2 linked regions of the Elephas maximus indicus genome follow. The main gene of each other region encodes a partner of the protein of the gene in region 2 in a complex. Links are inferred from orthologs where the notes say so. Each region holds a gene or a part of one and is shown on either strand. Other genes may lie near its edges.

Region 1 (6,905 bases), on a different chromosome or scaffold from region 2:
GAATGGGTTGCTAACTCATGAGTAAGAGCTTTTCTCTGCTTTAATTAGGAAGAACCCATTGTAAGGCAGTCAGCAGAAGGTTGACTGATGGCACCATGTCCAGCATGAAGTAATATCATTTGCGAGGACACTGGTAACTGTCCACATGCTCATTTACTCAGGACAGATTTGCTCTGCAGCTTAGAGCAACACCACCCTTCTCAAACTCCTTTTTATCTTTGTGCTCTGAGAAATCTACTTGTCATTGGGTTCAAGACTGGTGGAAGGAACTCTTGGTTGGATCTGGGTAATTGCCGATGGGTCAAATCAGCTGAAAACACCCACTCTCCCTAGGGGGAGCCAAAGGAGTCAAGGACGGTAGTATGATGCAAGCCACAGGCCTGGCAAGTCACGGTGTCTGTGCCAATGTCACTTGGAAGCCTCCCACCCATGAAAGAATGCTGGGGGCACATACAGCTTTTAGTTCGAGGCACGAAGAAAGCAAAGTCCCATTTATTTCCCAGTGATCTAATTTCACTTTGGTCTTGAAGAACAGGTAAAGAACAAAATTGCAGATGACAAGAATGGAAGCATGAAGTCAAAGCTCCCCCTACCCATGGTTACATTCACGTGTAATATTATCAATAATATTATCAAAAATAGTGTATTCAAGCTGCAGAAGTTAGAAAAGGAATTCTAATCAGCTTTATTGGCTTCAAGTGGAAAACACTTTAGAAAATAAGACCATGTCACCAGAAGACACTCTCACGAAGTCTATAAACACTGTTGGACCAACTGCAGCATCTGCCCAGAGACCATCCTTCTTATGGTCCAGTGAAGTTTACCAATGGGGGCATACTTCTAACCCTAAATCTGCACCTCTCAAAATTCAGTCTAAGGTTTAGAGGAAATGAAACCAAGCTCTTAGCTGCAGCAGCATCAAGGAAAACAGAAAATGTTAATCACTGATTCTGATTAAGAGGAGAACTAGTATGTATTTCTCACGAGGCGTAACAGACACTCAAGTATCTCCCAGTAACATATGCATAGTGAAGGTCCTGTTGTCAAGATTTGAAAATATCTTGCTGGGAAAAAAGATTTATGGACATCAGCAGGCACCCCCTCCATATACTTGGCAAAATATACACTACACAATCATTTTGTTCTCACTGGAAAACCAGACTGCACTTTTCAGTACACGTAGCCATTTCTTCAGAGGGTCCCACAGGCCGTCTCAGTACAGGTGAAGCCTGCTGTAGAGCCTGAGACACACCGTAATGGTGAGCAGTCCCCCTTCTGCAGATGGGGGCAGCCAAAGGACAGCAGTGGCTTCTCCTACTTATCATCTGCTCCCTGGATATTTTCAGGGCCCCACCAGCTGATGCTGATTACATACACAACACTTTACATAACTTTGGGAATAAGGGAACCAGTGAGCATCTCAGGCAGTGACTCAGGACTACAAAATAAGAAGTTCAAAGCAAGTTTAATAGCTTTAATGCACAATTTAATTTAAAGGCATTTGTTTTATACCCACCCATCTGCTCAACTTTGAAACCTTCCTCCACGTGGTAGAGTAGCAGTACTCCTTAGTTCTGGGTCGCTGGAACTAGGGAACTGCTCAGATATAAAGGGCACTCGGGTACACGAAACCAACCCCGTTGTTTGTTTCTCTGGACCCACTTTGCTCAACCCCATACAAAACTGTTTGCTAACCCAATTCTGTGCTCAGCACTCATTTGGACGTGAGAAATTATGATACAAACACAAACGTGTCCCACCCCAAATTCCACAGGACTGACAGCATTTGGAGACTCAAAGTTCACGGAGATTAAGTTGTGCGGCATTGAAAACACCAGGCCAGCTCCTCTCCTCCACTGTCTCAAGAGGGGAGAAAGGCCTTGGCCTCCCTGATTTTCTGCTTCACCCCCCTGCAGGACAAAGCCAGCCCGGCGTGGTGGCGCTTGAGGGATTCCAGGCGCTGGTTGAGCAGCTCCGTCTTTTCCACCTTTTCTTCCATGTCCTGGAGGAGCAGCTCCTTGCCCAGAAGCCCGCACTTCTGATTCAGCCTGATGTTGTCCATCCGCAGGCTGTCGCGGGCTTGCTTGGTCTTGGTCAGGATGTCTCTCTTCTGGGCCACGCGTGCCTCCATTTCCAAAACCTGGGACTTCTTACACATGTTCTCCATTTCCACGAAGTGTAGCTTCTCCTTCACGTGGGTTATGATCTGCACGTTGTTGATCACCTTGTTACGCAGCTTTAGAAGTTCCTCGTTGCGCTCCTCGACCTTCTCATTGAAGGTCTGGTTCTCGATCTTCAGCTGTTCGAAATCGATGAGGAGCAAGCCCTCGGTCAGGTCTCCCTGGGTCCTCATCCTGGTTTCAAAGTGCGCCAAGCTCTGCTTCAGCTGCACGTTCTCCAGCCTCACGGCGCTCATCTCCTTCTCCTTCTTGTCCTCCAGGGCCTGGATCTGCTCCACCTCCCGCAGGGCGGCCTGGCGCCCGCCTCGCAGCCGGCAGCTGCCCATGGCCTGCAGGACCACCTGCTTCTTCAGGGCCTGGAAGGCGCGCCACGCCTTCTCCACCCTGGCGACCTTCTCCTGGCACTGCTTCTTCAGCTGGATCAGCTCCTGACGGAACCAGTCCAAGTCGTCGGCCTGCTGCTTCTTCAGCTCCTCCAGCGCGGCCAGGTAGCGCAGATACACCTGCTCCTTCTCGGGGGCCTCGGGCTCGGGGGCCTTGTCGGGCGCCTCGGCCGCGTCGAGGCCCTTCTTCCTGCGCAGCGCGTCGTGGATCTTGTGCTGCAGGTGCACGTTGTGGCGCTGGTAGCGGCTGCGCTCCACCAGCAGGGCGCGGTACTGCTCCAGGAGCTCGGCGCGCAGCTTCTGCTCCTGCTGCTTCCGCACCTCCTCGCTCCACTCGCCCTCCCGGCCCGCGCCCCCGCGCAGCTCCTCGGCGCTCCTCGCCCGGCTCCCCTCCGGGCTGCGGCCCTCGCTGGCCTCGCGCTCGTCCCCGCTGGCGACCTCGGGCGGCTGGGCGGCCGCGGGCTCCTCCTCGCCGGCAGGCGGCGGCGAGAGCCGGGGCGCGGCCGGGGCCTCCGCCGCCTCCTCCCGCGGCCCCTCGGAGCCGGCCTCGGAGACCGGCCTGGACGGCTGCTCCCCGGGCTCGGCGTCGTCCGGCGCGGCCTCGGGCTCCGCGGGAGCTCCCGGCTCCTCGGGCGCCGCCTCGGCCGCGGCCCCGCCGTCCGCCGGCCCTTCCACGGCCTCGGGCTCCGCCGCGGCGCCGTCCCCGACCGCAGCCTCAGCCGTCTCGGGCTCGGCGGGCTCGGCCGGCGTCTGGGGGCTCAGGCTCTGCAGGCCCCCGGCGTCCCCAGCGTCGTCCGCCATCTCCAACCCACTGCCGGCGGCTCGGTTTCCAGGGGCAACCGCCGGCGCCCGCCGCGGGCCCGACGATTGGCCAGGAGTCGGCCCGGCGCCCCGCCCCCTCGGCCCGCCTCCCGGTGCGATTCGGCCAATGGGAGGCCGCGAGAGAACGACGGCCAGGTCCGACTGGAGGAGGGCGCCGTCTCGCCCCGCGGGGGGCGTGGCGCCTCCGCCTCATTTCCGCCCCGCCCGTTCGCAGCCCGGGCCTGGGCGGGGCGTCGGGCGTTGGCGGCACCAGGCGGCGACGGCAGCGCGGGCAGTGCGCAGGCGCGGCGGGGTCGGGGCGCGCGAGCGCCTGCGCGGTGCGGCGCGGCGGCGGCGGCGGCCGATGGCGCCTGCGCGCTGAGGAGCGGCTGGGCGCGGCGGCGGCGGCGGCGGCGGCGGCGGCGGCGGCGGCGGCGGCGGCGGCGGCGGCGGTTGCGCGGCGGCGGGGGGCGCGACGGCGGGGCTGTCGGCGGCGCGCCCCGCGGGAAGATGGCGGAGCTCGGCAAGAAGTACTGCGTGTACTGCCTGGCGGAGGTGAGCCCTCTGCGCTTCCGCTGCACCGAGTGCCAGGACATCGAGCTGTGCCCCGAGTGCTTCTCGGCCGGCGCCGAGATCGGCCACCACCGGCGCTACCACGGCTACCAGCTGGTGGACGGCGGCCGCTTCACGCTCTGGGGGCCCGAGGCCGAGGGCGGCTGGACCAGCCGCGAGGAGCAGCTGCTGCTGGACGCCATCGAGCAGTTCGGCTTCGGGAACTGGGTGAGCGGGGGACGGGGACCTCGGGGCGGAGACCCGACCGGGGGACGGGGGCCTCGGGGCGGAGACCCGACGCCTGGACGGAGACCTCGGGGCGGAGACCCGACGCCTGGACGGAGACCTCGGGGTGGAGACCCGACCCCGGGAGGGGGACCCTGGGCTGGGGACCCCAGGCTGGAGACGTTGACTCCTGGGCTGGAGATGCTCACCTCAGGCCCACTGTCAGCTCCCTGGAGGGGCGTCCCAGCTTTGGGCGCTGCTGGGGAAGGCTTCCCCCCGATAGGGAAAAGGACCACTTGACTCACTCATTTCTACTGCACCGCTGAAGGCTGGTAAGGCAGGCACAGCCAACAAATAGCCTGTTTAGAGACGGGAAGACTGAGGCTCAGCAAAGTTAAGGTAATATGCCCGAGACCGCATCGCCAGGAGCTGGGGCTTGCTGACCACAGAGCCCCCTTCCTGACCTTTCAGGACACTTCCAGTAGGGATTTACTGAGTGCAGGCGACGGCAGGACCTGGCATCGTAGCTGAGTAGGGGTCATGGAGGTACGCCTCACCGACTTGACAGAATGGTCAGGAAGGTCAGTGGGAGGACAGCAAGCCTCACAGATACCATGGGGCTTGTCTGCTTTGTGTCTGTGGCTCCCTTTGCTCTCTGTGGTGGTTTGCGCCATGCTAGTGTGTGAGCTTTGTGGGTCCCTACAGTACGCAGGGAGTCCCTGGGTAGTGCACATGGTTAATGTGCTCAGCTGCTAACCAGAAAGTGGGAGGTTCAAGTCCACGCACAGGCGCCTCAGAAGAAAGGCTTGGTGATCCATTTCTGGAAAATAAGCCGCTGAAGACCCTGTGGAGCACAGTCCGCTCTGACACACGGGGCTGCCGGGGGTCACGGTCGACTTGACAGCAGCTGGAAAGATACCCAGGATGCTGTGCAGTGAGTGGTCAGTAAATGGCAAGCAGAGGGTCCTGGAGGAGGAACAGGGGTCCTGGGTGTTTGCCCACCTTACACGTCAGTAAAGACTTTCTCTGTGGAGGAGGAGGTGATAGCTGTTCTGGTTTCACTTACACCGCAGGGTAGCTTGTTGGGCTCCTTGAGAGAGGGAAGCCGGGGGCTCCTTGAGAGAGGGAAGCAGGGGTTCTTCTCCAGATGGGCTCCCAGAAGCTCTCTGTGTCCCAGTGGAGCCTCCGAGCTGGTCCCCATCATTCATGTCTCCAGAGCTCTCCACGTGCCGTGACCAGAGTGACCTTTTAAAAACAAGCTGCATCTTCTTGCCTTTCCCAGGCTCCCAGGTCCATTCAGATTAGACCCCCGGCCAGTGGGGCTCATCGCTCCCCGCCCTCCGGGATCATTCTTTATTTTCTGTCCTACTGCCCTCCCACAGTCTTTTTACTGGATGTCCATGCCTCACCAAGACGCACCCTCCGCACGCCATCTTCCTTCGTGTGGCTAAGGTGCTGGTGGGCTGCAAGCCTGTGAGTGCCTGGCACCTGCAGGTTCTCAGTGTCTCAGGAGACTTCCCAGCAGCCCTGCGTGGGAGCTCCTAACCACACTGTCTGCACAAGAGCAAGATGCTGGAAATGAAGACAAGGGTAGTGTGTTGGAAGAAGCGTGGGCTGGAAGTGGGGAGGCCTTTTCCGAAGTAATCTTTCCCAGGCTTAGTGTGTACACAGGTCACCTGGGGAACCTGTTAAAGTGCTGGGACTGGGTCTTGGTCCCAGGGCGAGGCCTGAATATCTGTATTCCTAACAAGCCTCGGCTGCGTAGACCAGGTAGTGAGGTCTCTTCCTCTCTGGCCGTGCTGTCCTGGGCCAGTCGCTCTGTCCCTGGGTTCCGTTCTTCACCCGAGGCTCTTCTGCAGCTTTGGATTGTGGTTATCTCATGTGCACACGTGTGTACGTGTATGTGCGCGTGAGCGATCATTTTTTAGGACCTGTTTCCACGTGCCAGTCACTGGGCCTGGCTTTTGACACGCGTGTGTTCGTGGTCTTCACGGTTTGTGGTTCCAGTTGAATGACAGTGACTCAGAAGTCGAGCCACTTGTCCAGGGTGCCATTCCTTTTCATGAGGGGGGCAGGGTTTGGACGCGGGCCTGTCTGATTCCAAAGCCTGGGCCTTCGCCCTTTAGGAGCATTCAGTGATGTGGGCCAGGGACTGTGAGCTGTCAGTGCTGCTGAAGGTGTGGGTGGCTGGGAGGGCTGACAGGAGACCACCTCTTGGTGGCTTGGGAGGGTGCATGTGGGCGGGGCACTGGGGGAGGGTAGGGCTGAGTGTGGGTGCACACAGGAGGGGGTGGTGTGGGAATCGAGGCCAGTGATGTAGTTAATGGAGGAGGTCTCCGCCCTGATTTCCCAGCTGCAGGTGATGACACCGACCTGTTTGGTCTGGGATTCACAGAGGATGGAGCTGTGGCTGAGTACCAGGGCAGGGACCGCGGGGCCAGCTGATGAGTGTTAGCAGGAGGCAGCGAGGCTTGGGGACGTGAGCATGCATGTGTCTGCCACCGTGTGTCGGGGCGTCTGTGACGACGAGGCTGTGGTGGAGAGGAGTTGTCAGGTGGACCGTGGCCCGCGGAGTTGGATCAATGGGCTCATTGAGAGCCGCGGCAGCCAGCTCCGGGCACCGTGCAGGACCGGAGCCTTGCGTGACAGCCCTGCTGGACCAGCAGATAGGAGGTGACACGCAGGTGGCCTGTGCTCAGTCTGGGGCTGCAGCCATCTGAGGAGGACTCTTGGGGAGTGGGATTCAAGGCCGCTTTCCGCGAGG
Region 2 (7,682 bases):
CTTCTTTTTGTTTTATATTGCGTTTTTTTTTTTTTTGGGTACTCTTGCAAATGGTCTCATTTTAAAAGTTTAATTTTTTATGTTGAAATTGACATTTAAAGATCAATATCTAAATCTTAGCTTCATACATCCCATCTGAGCAATTGATACTTACTAAATACCAATGACAAAATCTAAGGCTTGGTGCATCTTCCAAACCACCTGGAATGAAGTCATAGGGCTTTACAAACTGAGCACCTGGGTTGAATGAGGGACAAGTTCCAGTTAAGAATTAACCAAAGCAGCAAGAAATTCTAATAAGTCACCCGATGGGCATTGTGCTTAGAAAGTAGAGGCTGGTAGAGTGGCAGCTTTGCAGGTTAAGGGAGAAGCTGAGGTGCCTTAGGGCTCCCCTTACTTGAAAGTAAGGCCATTACTTGACTGCAGTTTGGGATGGCAAAGGAGACATTAGGGAACATCGACCTGCTGGAGTGAGGTTAAGGAGGGCAGTTTCCCTCCTGAACTTTGAAGTAAGCTCCTCTCTGAGTTAAACCAGTTACACCCATCCACAATGGCTGCAATTAGCCATTTATGGCAGTAGGCCAAGAGACTGTTGTAAATGAGTCACTCAAGAGTTTGCAGACACCCATGGCCCCCATCAAGGAGATCTGGGTCAACTTCAGAGCAGAAGCCAGCCAGTCTGTGGTTATAATTTAGTGAGTGGACTTCTAATCAGTGATGTCCTACTATCATTAGAGAGAGGGACCAGAGGGGCTGGTCAGCCGGGGCAGCCTGAGCAGAACTTTGGAGTCCAGGTCCCAGGTTTCTTCAATGCCAGTTCTGCCCCCACTGGGAATGTCTTGGGCCATTTACTTAACCTTTCCAAGCCTCGGCTCCCTCCTCTGGAAGAGGCTAAACCTGCCACACAGTGAGTGCTGTTGTTATTGGAGGCCACCTGAGACTGTCCCTGGTGAGAGAGTCTTGGCAAGAAAGAGCCAGAAAGGGGACTGTTGAGATGGGTGGGCTCCACCCCAGATCTACCCATGAGGCTACTGCCTAATTCTCCAGGTTCCCCTGCCTGCTTCCTGGGGCAAAGGGGCCATCGGGCCGAGTGCCTTCTGACCTCTGAGAGGCCTTCTCCCTGTGAGTGGACAGACTGGCCATCTGCATTTGCAGATCAGTCATGAGACATGTTCACAAAGCTGTCCTGGCAGGCGGATCTGTTCTCGAGCATCCCTGTCTGCAGGGCTGAGGAGTGCTGCTGGCTGGGGTGGTGAAGTCCTCCAGGTGAATGGCCATCTAGCCATGTTTTTTTTTAAATTTGTTTTTATCATGTAATATTGCAGACAGAGAATGAAAGTATAGGTGACATGCCACTGCACACCTTCCCCACAGCCCAGCATTGAAACCATGGAGTCTTGATAAAACTTGTATTTGTGTGTCTCATGCTTTTTCCTCATTTTATTGCTTAATAAATTAAAGGCCCCACAAACCTGCTGGCCTGGGAAGCAGCACTTATGCTCACAGCCTGGCACATTTGCCAGTAGCGAGGGTGTGCAGCCCTGGGATCTTAACTCTCTTTTGTAGCAAACCTGACCCATGTTCCAACGCAGCATTTGTGGTCACATATCACACGTGTTTCATCCCTCTCTCCTCTTTTCACGCTAGATGTGAGTTTCCCTGCAAACCACAGAAGCCAAGATGCTTTGTGGCCCCAAGTGAAGCCAGATGGAAATGGTCAGAGGCACTTGGCCTGAGTCCCCAGGGCGGAAGAGTTGGCGAATATTCGCCCACCTCTGCCCCATCAGGAGAGAACTGCTGGGTGGGCAGTGCTCTCCAGGTGAAGCAGAGCTGACCTCTCAAAGTGTGCTGTCTGTCTGGGGAGTAGCAGAAGACCCTCCGGGAAGGGAGGTGAGCTGGGTGGGTACAGAGCCATGACCTTACTACACTTCCTGCGACTGCTGGACTTGAGGTTGTTCCGGCAGACTCTGACGTGACGTCGGGAAATGTATCGATGCTGGAGCACACCCTGACTAGGAGAAGCCCCCAGGCAAGCCTGGTGGCAGAAGGCTGGTCAGACGCTGAGCTGGAGGCCAGCCCATATGGAGCCCAGCTGGCTGGAGGGAACTGACAGGAGCAAGGCCTCAGTGCTGAGCACCCACTGTACCCCAACTCACCCCATGTCTTCACCTTTCCTTTAGCAGAGCTCTCACTCCTGCATTGGCAGACCTGCAGATGTGAGAGCCCAAGTTCCCTGAGCCTGTGACGGGGCCTCACCCTGGTATGGTGACACCTTCATGGGGCACTGAGTCCTGCCTGTGGACTGGCTGCTGCTATTCCTCTGCTCCTGACTCTAAATTCTGAGGGGCTGCACACGGGGCTGGCACCAGGCAGCTGATGGGTTTTGTCTGGTCTACTTCAAAATGTTCTAAATAGTTGTCAACATTTAAAAATTGAGAGATTTTCACAAGACTCCATATTTCTTCTATTGTTTGAAGATTCAGACCACCTGCCCTGCTGAGGTCTTCTTAGCTCCCGGCTGCCCCTTGGATACTGGGACAGGTCCCCAGTGGTCAGTCCCTGGTGCACCCTGGGGCCTCCTCAAACCCAGCTCATTTTATTCCTCTACTTTCCTGCCTGACCTTTCTACAGCAGAGCCGAAAAATACCTGAATGAATCACAAGGGCTAGGCTAAGATCTTTATTTGTTTGAGTTTACTTTCAAAGTTTCAGGATATTTCTGAAGCCTTGCCTTCTGGGGGCTAAAACTCAGGTTTAAAATTCAAAACACTCCCCACCCCCTGCCCAGACACCTTTCCTTGGTTCCAACATCCGCTATGATTATCTACTGCTGCTCTCAAGAGAAAAAACCTGGAGAAAAAATCGTGTGTTTGTTATCAATAGGTCGGTTAGGTTGAAAGGTTGCAATAGGAACACACACACCCACCCACCCACCCACCCCCTTAGGCTCTGTTTTTGAGAGCTGAGCAGTCTCTTTTGTGAAGGCAGTTAGAAAAATCATTTACTATGTCAACACTGGCTGTGCTGAGACTGGTGTTTACTGTGGTGACTGTCTCTTCAGCAATAAAGACAGGTCCTGTGATTCCGTGTTGCCAGTGACTGAGAAAGCAGTTCTCTGCGGAAACTGTTTTGGGCTTTTACAAAAAAAAAAAGAAAGAAAAAAATCAGAAAACCATTAAAAATCTCCAATAACACGAGTCTTTTGGTTAAAAAAACCAAAACAACTCAGAAAAAGGGAACTTTAATATTTTTGTAGAGGGGCTCCTAAACATCATTTTGGGTCATTTACCTCTCCCTCCCCTGCCCAAAGTAAATAAAGAGCAGAAAAGTACTTCCAAAAGCCATTGCTTCATACCAGCGAATTTTATTTTGTACCTGGTCTACTTACCTTTCTGTCTGGGGGAGGGGTCTGTGGTCATTACATGGCAGTCACCTTTGAGCCTCAGAGTCCCATCCCCCGGAGAACTTCGTTTATTGACTTAAAAGTGGAGGGGAAGGCCCACGGTAGTCCCAGCTGGAGGGTAAGCAGGGGAGTCCGCGCAGACTCGGTTCCCAGGACCCGCCAGTCTGGCCAGCCCCGCAGCCCCCCAGCCCCAGTTCCCACGCGTTCCCCAGCATTGAGGGTAGAAGGCTGCTTGCACCCAGCCGAGTGCGATCATGTTTTACTGCAGGAGAAATAGCCCTCAGGGTGCCAGCGCGCACGATGCCGGCCCGCCCTCCGGTGACCACCACCGGCGAGGGTCGCCCCTCTGTACACATCTGTCCCCGCCCTGCCCCCTCTGTCCGCCGGATGTCACCCATCCCGGTGATCGCGTCTGGCCGGTAGGCCTCGTCCACCCACTGGTGCCTCAGAAGCGGCTACCGGGGGGTGTCCAGGCGCTCTTGCGGCCCTCACGGTGCGCGTTTGGTGGTCCCTGCTTTAAGCGGTGCCGCCAAGACCTCGGCAGGCGGCGGGGGTCTCCGGGGCGTGCACCTGCGCCCCTCCGGCGGCGCTTCCCCGTGCGTTTGCCGGGGTCTCCCGGCCCCGGCTCCCCTGGCCCCCCGCCGTCCTCCCGAGCACCGCCGGCCTGCACGCCCGGTCACGGCGTCGGCCCGGAGCCTCGCCCGCTGGCGGGGAGCAATGGCGGCCGAGCCGGGGTGCTGCTCTCCGCCACCGCTCCCGGGCCCGCCCGTGCTCCCCGTGGCGCCCGGCGCGGCCTCCCGAGCTCTCCAAGCGGCGGCAGCGGGGCGGACTGCCCGGCCGCCCCTCGTCGCTCCGTCGCCCGCCAGCCCGCCCGCTCTAGTCAGCTTCGGCCGCAGCCATTTTGGAACGAGCGGAGACAAAGAGCTGGCCGCCGCCGCCGCCGCCACCCCCGGCCGGCCTCGTCCGTCCCCGCAGTCCGTCCCGACCCGGCCGTCCGCCCCCCGCACCCGCCGCCCGGCCCCGAGCTCCAAGCCCACCGGCCGCCCGCCCTCGCCCCGGCCTCTAACGCTTGCAGCCATTTGTCGCGCCTTTTAAGCGCGCGCCGCAGCCAATGGGCGCCCGCCGGGCGGCGGGGCGGGGGCGGTGCGCGCGGCTGCGCCTGCGCACTGGCGCCCGCCCGCGGCCCCGCCCCGCCCCCCCGGCCGAGCGGCGGCGGCGGCGGCGGCCGAGGAAAAAAGATGGCGGCGGGCTCGGATCTGCTGGACGAGGTCTTCTTCAACAGCGAGGTGGACGAGAAAGTGGTGAGCGACCTGGTGGGCTCGCTCGAGTCGCAGCTGGCGGCCAGCGCGGCCCACCACCATCACCTGCCGCTGAGGCCCGACGCGCGGGCCGCGGCCGCCGCGCTCGGAAACCACGCCGGGAGCGCCGGCGCCGAGGCCGCCCCGCCGGAGCGGCCCGCAGCAGGTAGCCGGGGCCAGGCGGGGCGGGCTGTCAGCGCGGCCGCCGCGCGTCCTCACCGCTCTCTCCTTGTTGTTGCAGGGCCCGGAGCCGCCAGCCACGGCGCCGCGCGCCCGCCGCCGTCCGAGGGCCCCGCGCCCGCCCCGGCGCCCGCCCCGGCCCCGGCCGCCGCGGGCCCCGAGCCCGGCCCCGCCGCCAGCCCCGCCGCGGGCCCGGCCAAGCCTGCCGCCAGCCCCGCCGCGGGCCCCGCGCTGCGCGCCGGCAAGCTGGGCGGCCCCGGCGCCGTGCAAACTTTGAATGGGAGCAGCGTGGTGGTGAACTCGCTGCGCGCCGCGCCGCCGGTCAACAACGGGCCCGCGGCCGCGCCGCCCCCGGCCAAAGCGGGCGCTGTCAGCGCCGCGCAGCCCGCCGGCTCCGTCATCCAGGCCGCCGCCGCCGCCGCCGCGTCCCCCGCCGCCCCGGCCCGGCCGTCCGGCACGCCCGCGGGACCCCCGGCCGCCGCCGCGCAGAACGGGAGCAGCACTGGGATCGGCGCGGCGCTGGGCGCGGGGGGCGCGCCGGCGGGGGGCGCCGCCGCCGCCGCGCCGGCCCTGCAGGCCGCCCCTCTGGTGAACAGTCAGCCGGCGCCCCCCGCGCCCCCTGCCGCCGCGCCGCCGGCGCAGGCCGCCAAGGCCGAGTCCCCGAAGACCTCGGTGCCCGCGGCGCCCCCGCCGCAGACGCTGCCGGCCAGCTGTCCGGCGGGCGCGGGAGCAGGCGTGCTGCTCGGGCAGACTGTGCCGCCGGCCGGCCCCCCGCCCGCGCCCGGCGCCCCCGCCGCGCTGCCCAAGGGCGCGGCCGCCCCGAGCCTGCCGCCCCGGACTCCCACGGCCGCCGCGCCCGGCCTCCGGGCCACCCTGACGCCCACCGTGCTGGCCCCGCGCCTGCCGCAGCCGCCGCAGAACCCCACCAACATCCAGAACTTCCAGCTGCCCCCAGGTGAGTGGCCGCCCCCCGCGGGCAGGGGCGGGTCTGCGAGCCGCGGAGTTCCGGGAAGTACCCCTACTCACTCACGGAGACGCTAAGGTCACCTGTGTCCTACAGGGCGGGCGGCGATTTATTTGGCTGCGGTGTAGGGGCTGGGGCTGCACAGGTGTAGTAGCCTCTAAAAAGGTGTTGTGGCAGCCCGGGCTAGGGCTGTGTGCATGTATGTACACGTGTGTGTAGGTACATGTATGTGTTTGTGTACACTTGGATATGTGTGTACATGCTCGGGTGTGTGCATAAATTACCTGCTTATGTATCTGTGTGTACGTACACCTGTGTGTATATACATGTATGTGTGTGTATGTCTGTGTGTGTTTATGTATATCTGTGTTTGTAGGTACTTTTGTGTGTATACAGGCATGAGTATACGTCCATGTATACTTGTGTGTGCTTATCTACCCCGTGGGTGTGTACACACCTCTGTGTGTGTAGAGTTCCTCTGACTAGGTATGTACACTCACGTGTGTATGTATACCTGCGTGTATGAGTGTATGTACACCCGAGTGTATACGTACATCTGTGTGTACCCGTGTGTGTAACGTACCTCTGTGTACGTGCGCTTGTGTGTGTATGTACATCTGCATGTAGGTACACGTCTGTGTAACACACCTTTCTCTGTACCTGTATACCTGCATCTGTAGGTACCCTTGTGTGTGTGCATGTACTTCTGTGTGTGCTGTGTGTATATCATACCTCTGCATAGTACACCTCTGTGGGTGTGTGTGCGTATGCATGCCCAGTGCAGCTGTGGGTTTCCCACCCGTGACGTCCTGGTCTGTCACTGCGTGTCCTGCATTGCTTGTTTGGTTGTGGCAGACTCGCAGTTGGGTGGCTGGCCCTGCGTGCCCCTGCCCCCATGGGCAGCAATAGCAGCGATTGCAGGGACAGGTTGTCCAGAGGTTGGGCGTCACGGGAGCACAGTGTACTTGGAGCTTGGGTGGTCAGGCTTCCCCTTCCTGGTGTCTGGCCTGTGTCCCCACCTGGCTCCTTCCTGCTCCTTTACCATCTGGCTCTAGAGGTCCCGACAGTGGGCTGGAGAGACCCCTCCTAAAGGTGCTGTCGCAGCAGGGTGGCCTCTCTCTGGGAGCTGGCGAGGTGTGCACTCTGCCTGCGGTGATGGGGCCCCCTACACTGCAGCCTCCCGTTCAGCCTGAGCACAATCCTCCCGGCACATGTCCTTCCTGGTCGCGTCCTTGTCTGAAAACCATGCTTGAGTATCATCTTAGCTGGACTTGTTACGCTGTCAGTATTTTCAGTTCAGCAGAGACACTGTCAGGACTGCCTGGTTAGTTGTGCAACTCTGGAAGCCGTTGGTGGTCAGAGGCTCTCCAGACGCTCCAGTGGGTCTGAGAGTGGTTCAAACCCAGAACATTTGCAGAGGGAGGCTCTGGGGTCAGCAGCTGCCTCAGCCTTCAGCGTCTCGCTGCACAGGCTGCCGCTGGCCCTGCAGCTGAAGTTTGACAGTGAGGGATTCCCTCAGCAGCCAGCCTGGGGCAGGTCTTAGAAGGAGTCGCCTCCTCCTTCCCATCCACTCCCCCAGCTTCAGGACTGTGGGCTCGGCCGAGGCTCCGCCCTCACGGGTCACATGGGTGGGTCCAGTTGTAGTAGAGGGTGGCAGTAGTGAAGACAGCACTGCCCATGCTGCCCCCGCCCCCCGCCCCCGCAGCCCCTCCTGCTCTCTGGAGCAGGACTTGTCGCTTTGGAACAATTTTGGAGTTTTAGAAGAGGAGGAGGGTTAACCTGTCAGAGGGTGAGGGTGGGACGGGTGCTAAACTGCCAATGGGGTCCCTTGCTCCCTT

What was found. Proteins that work in one complex are often made in the same cells at the same time.
Region 1: TAF4 (region 2) and TADA2B share a complex: the UniProt entries of both Homo sapiens proteins name them as parts of the TFTC-HAT complex. The link is inferred for Elephas maximus indicus from reciprocal best matches to the Homo sapiens genes TAF4 and TADA2B.

Annotation. Positions count from the first base shown.
Region 1 is NC_064823.1:164,952,047-164,958,951, reverse strand, and holds the start of TADA2B (transcriptional adapter 2-beta), read left to right. Parts: upstream 1-3,818; 5' UTR 3,819-3,874; coding exon 3,875-4,144; intron 4,145-6,905. Other genes in the region: CCDC96 (coiled-coil domain-containing protein 96), read right to left, coding at 1,862-3,364. UniProt on the Homo sapiens protein: Coactivates PAX5-dependent transcription together with either SMARCA4 or GCN5L2.
Region 2 is NC_064843.1:5,834,574-5,842,255, forward strand, and holds the start of TAF4 (transcription initiation factor TFIID subunit 4), read left to right. Parts: upstream 1-4,611; 5' UTR 4,612-4,640; coding exon 4,641-4,866; intron 4,867-4,941; coding exon 4,942-5,835; intron 5,836-7,682. UniProt on the Homo sapiens protein: The TFIID basal transcription factor complex plays a major role in the initiation of RNA polymerase II (Pol II)-dependent transcription.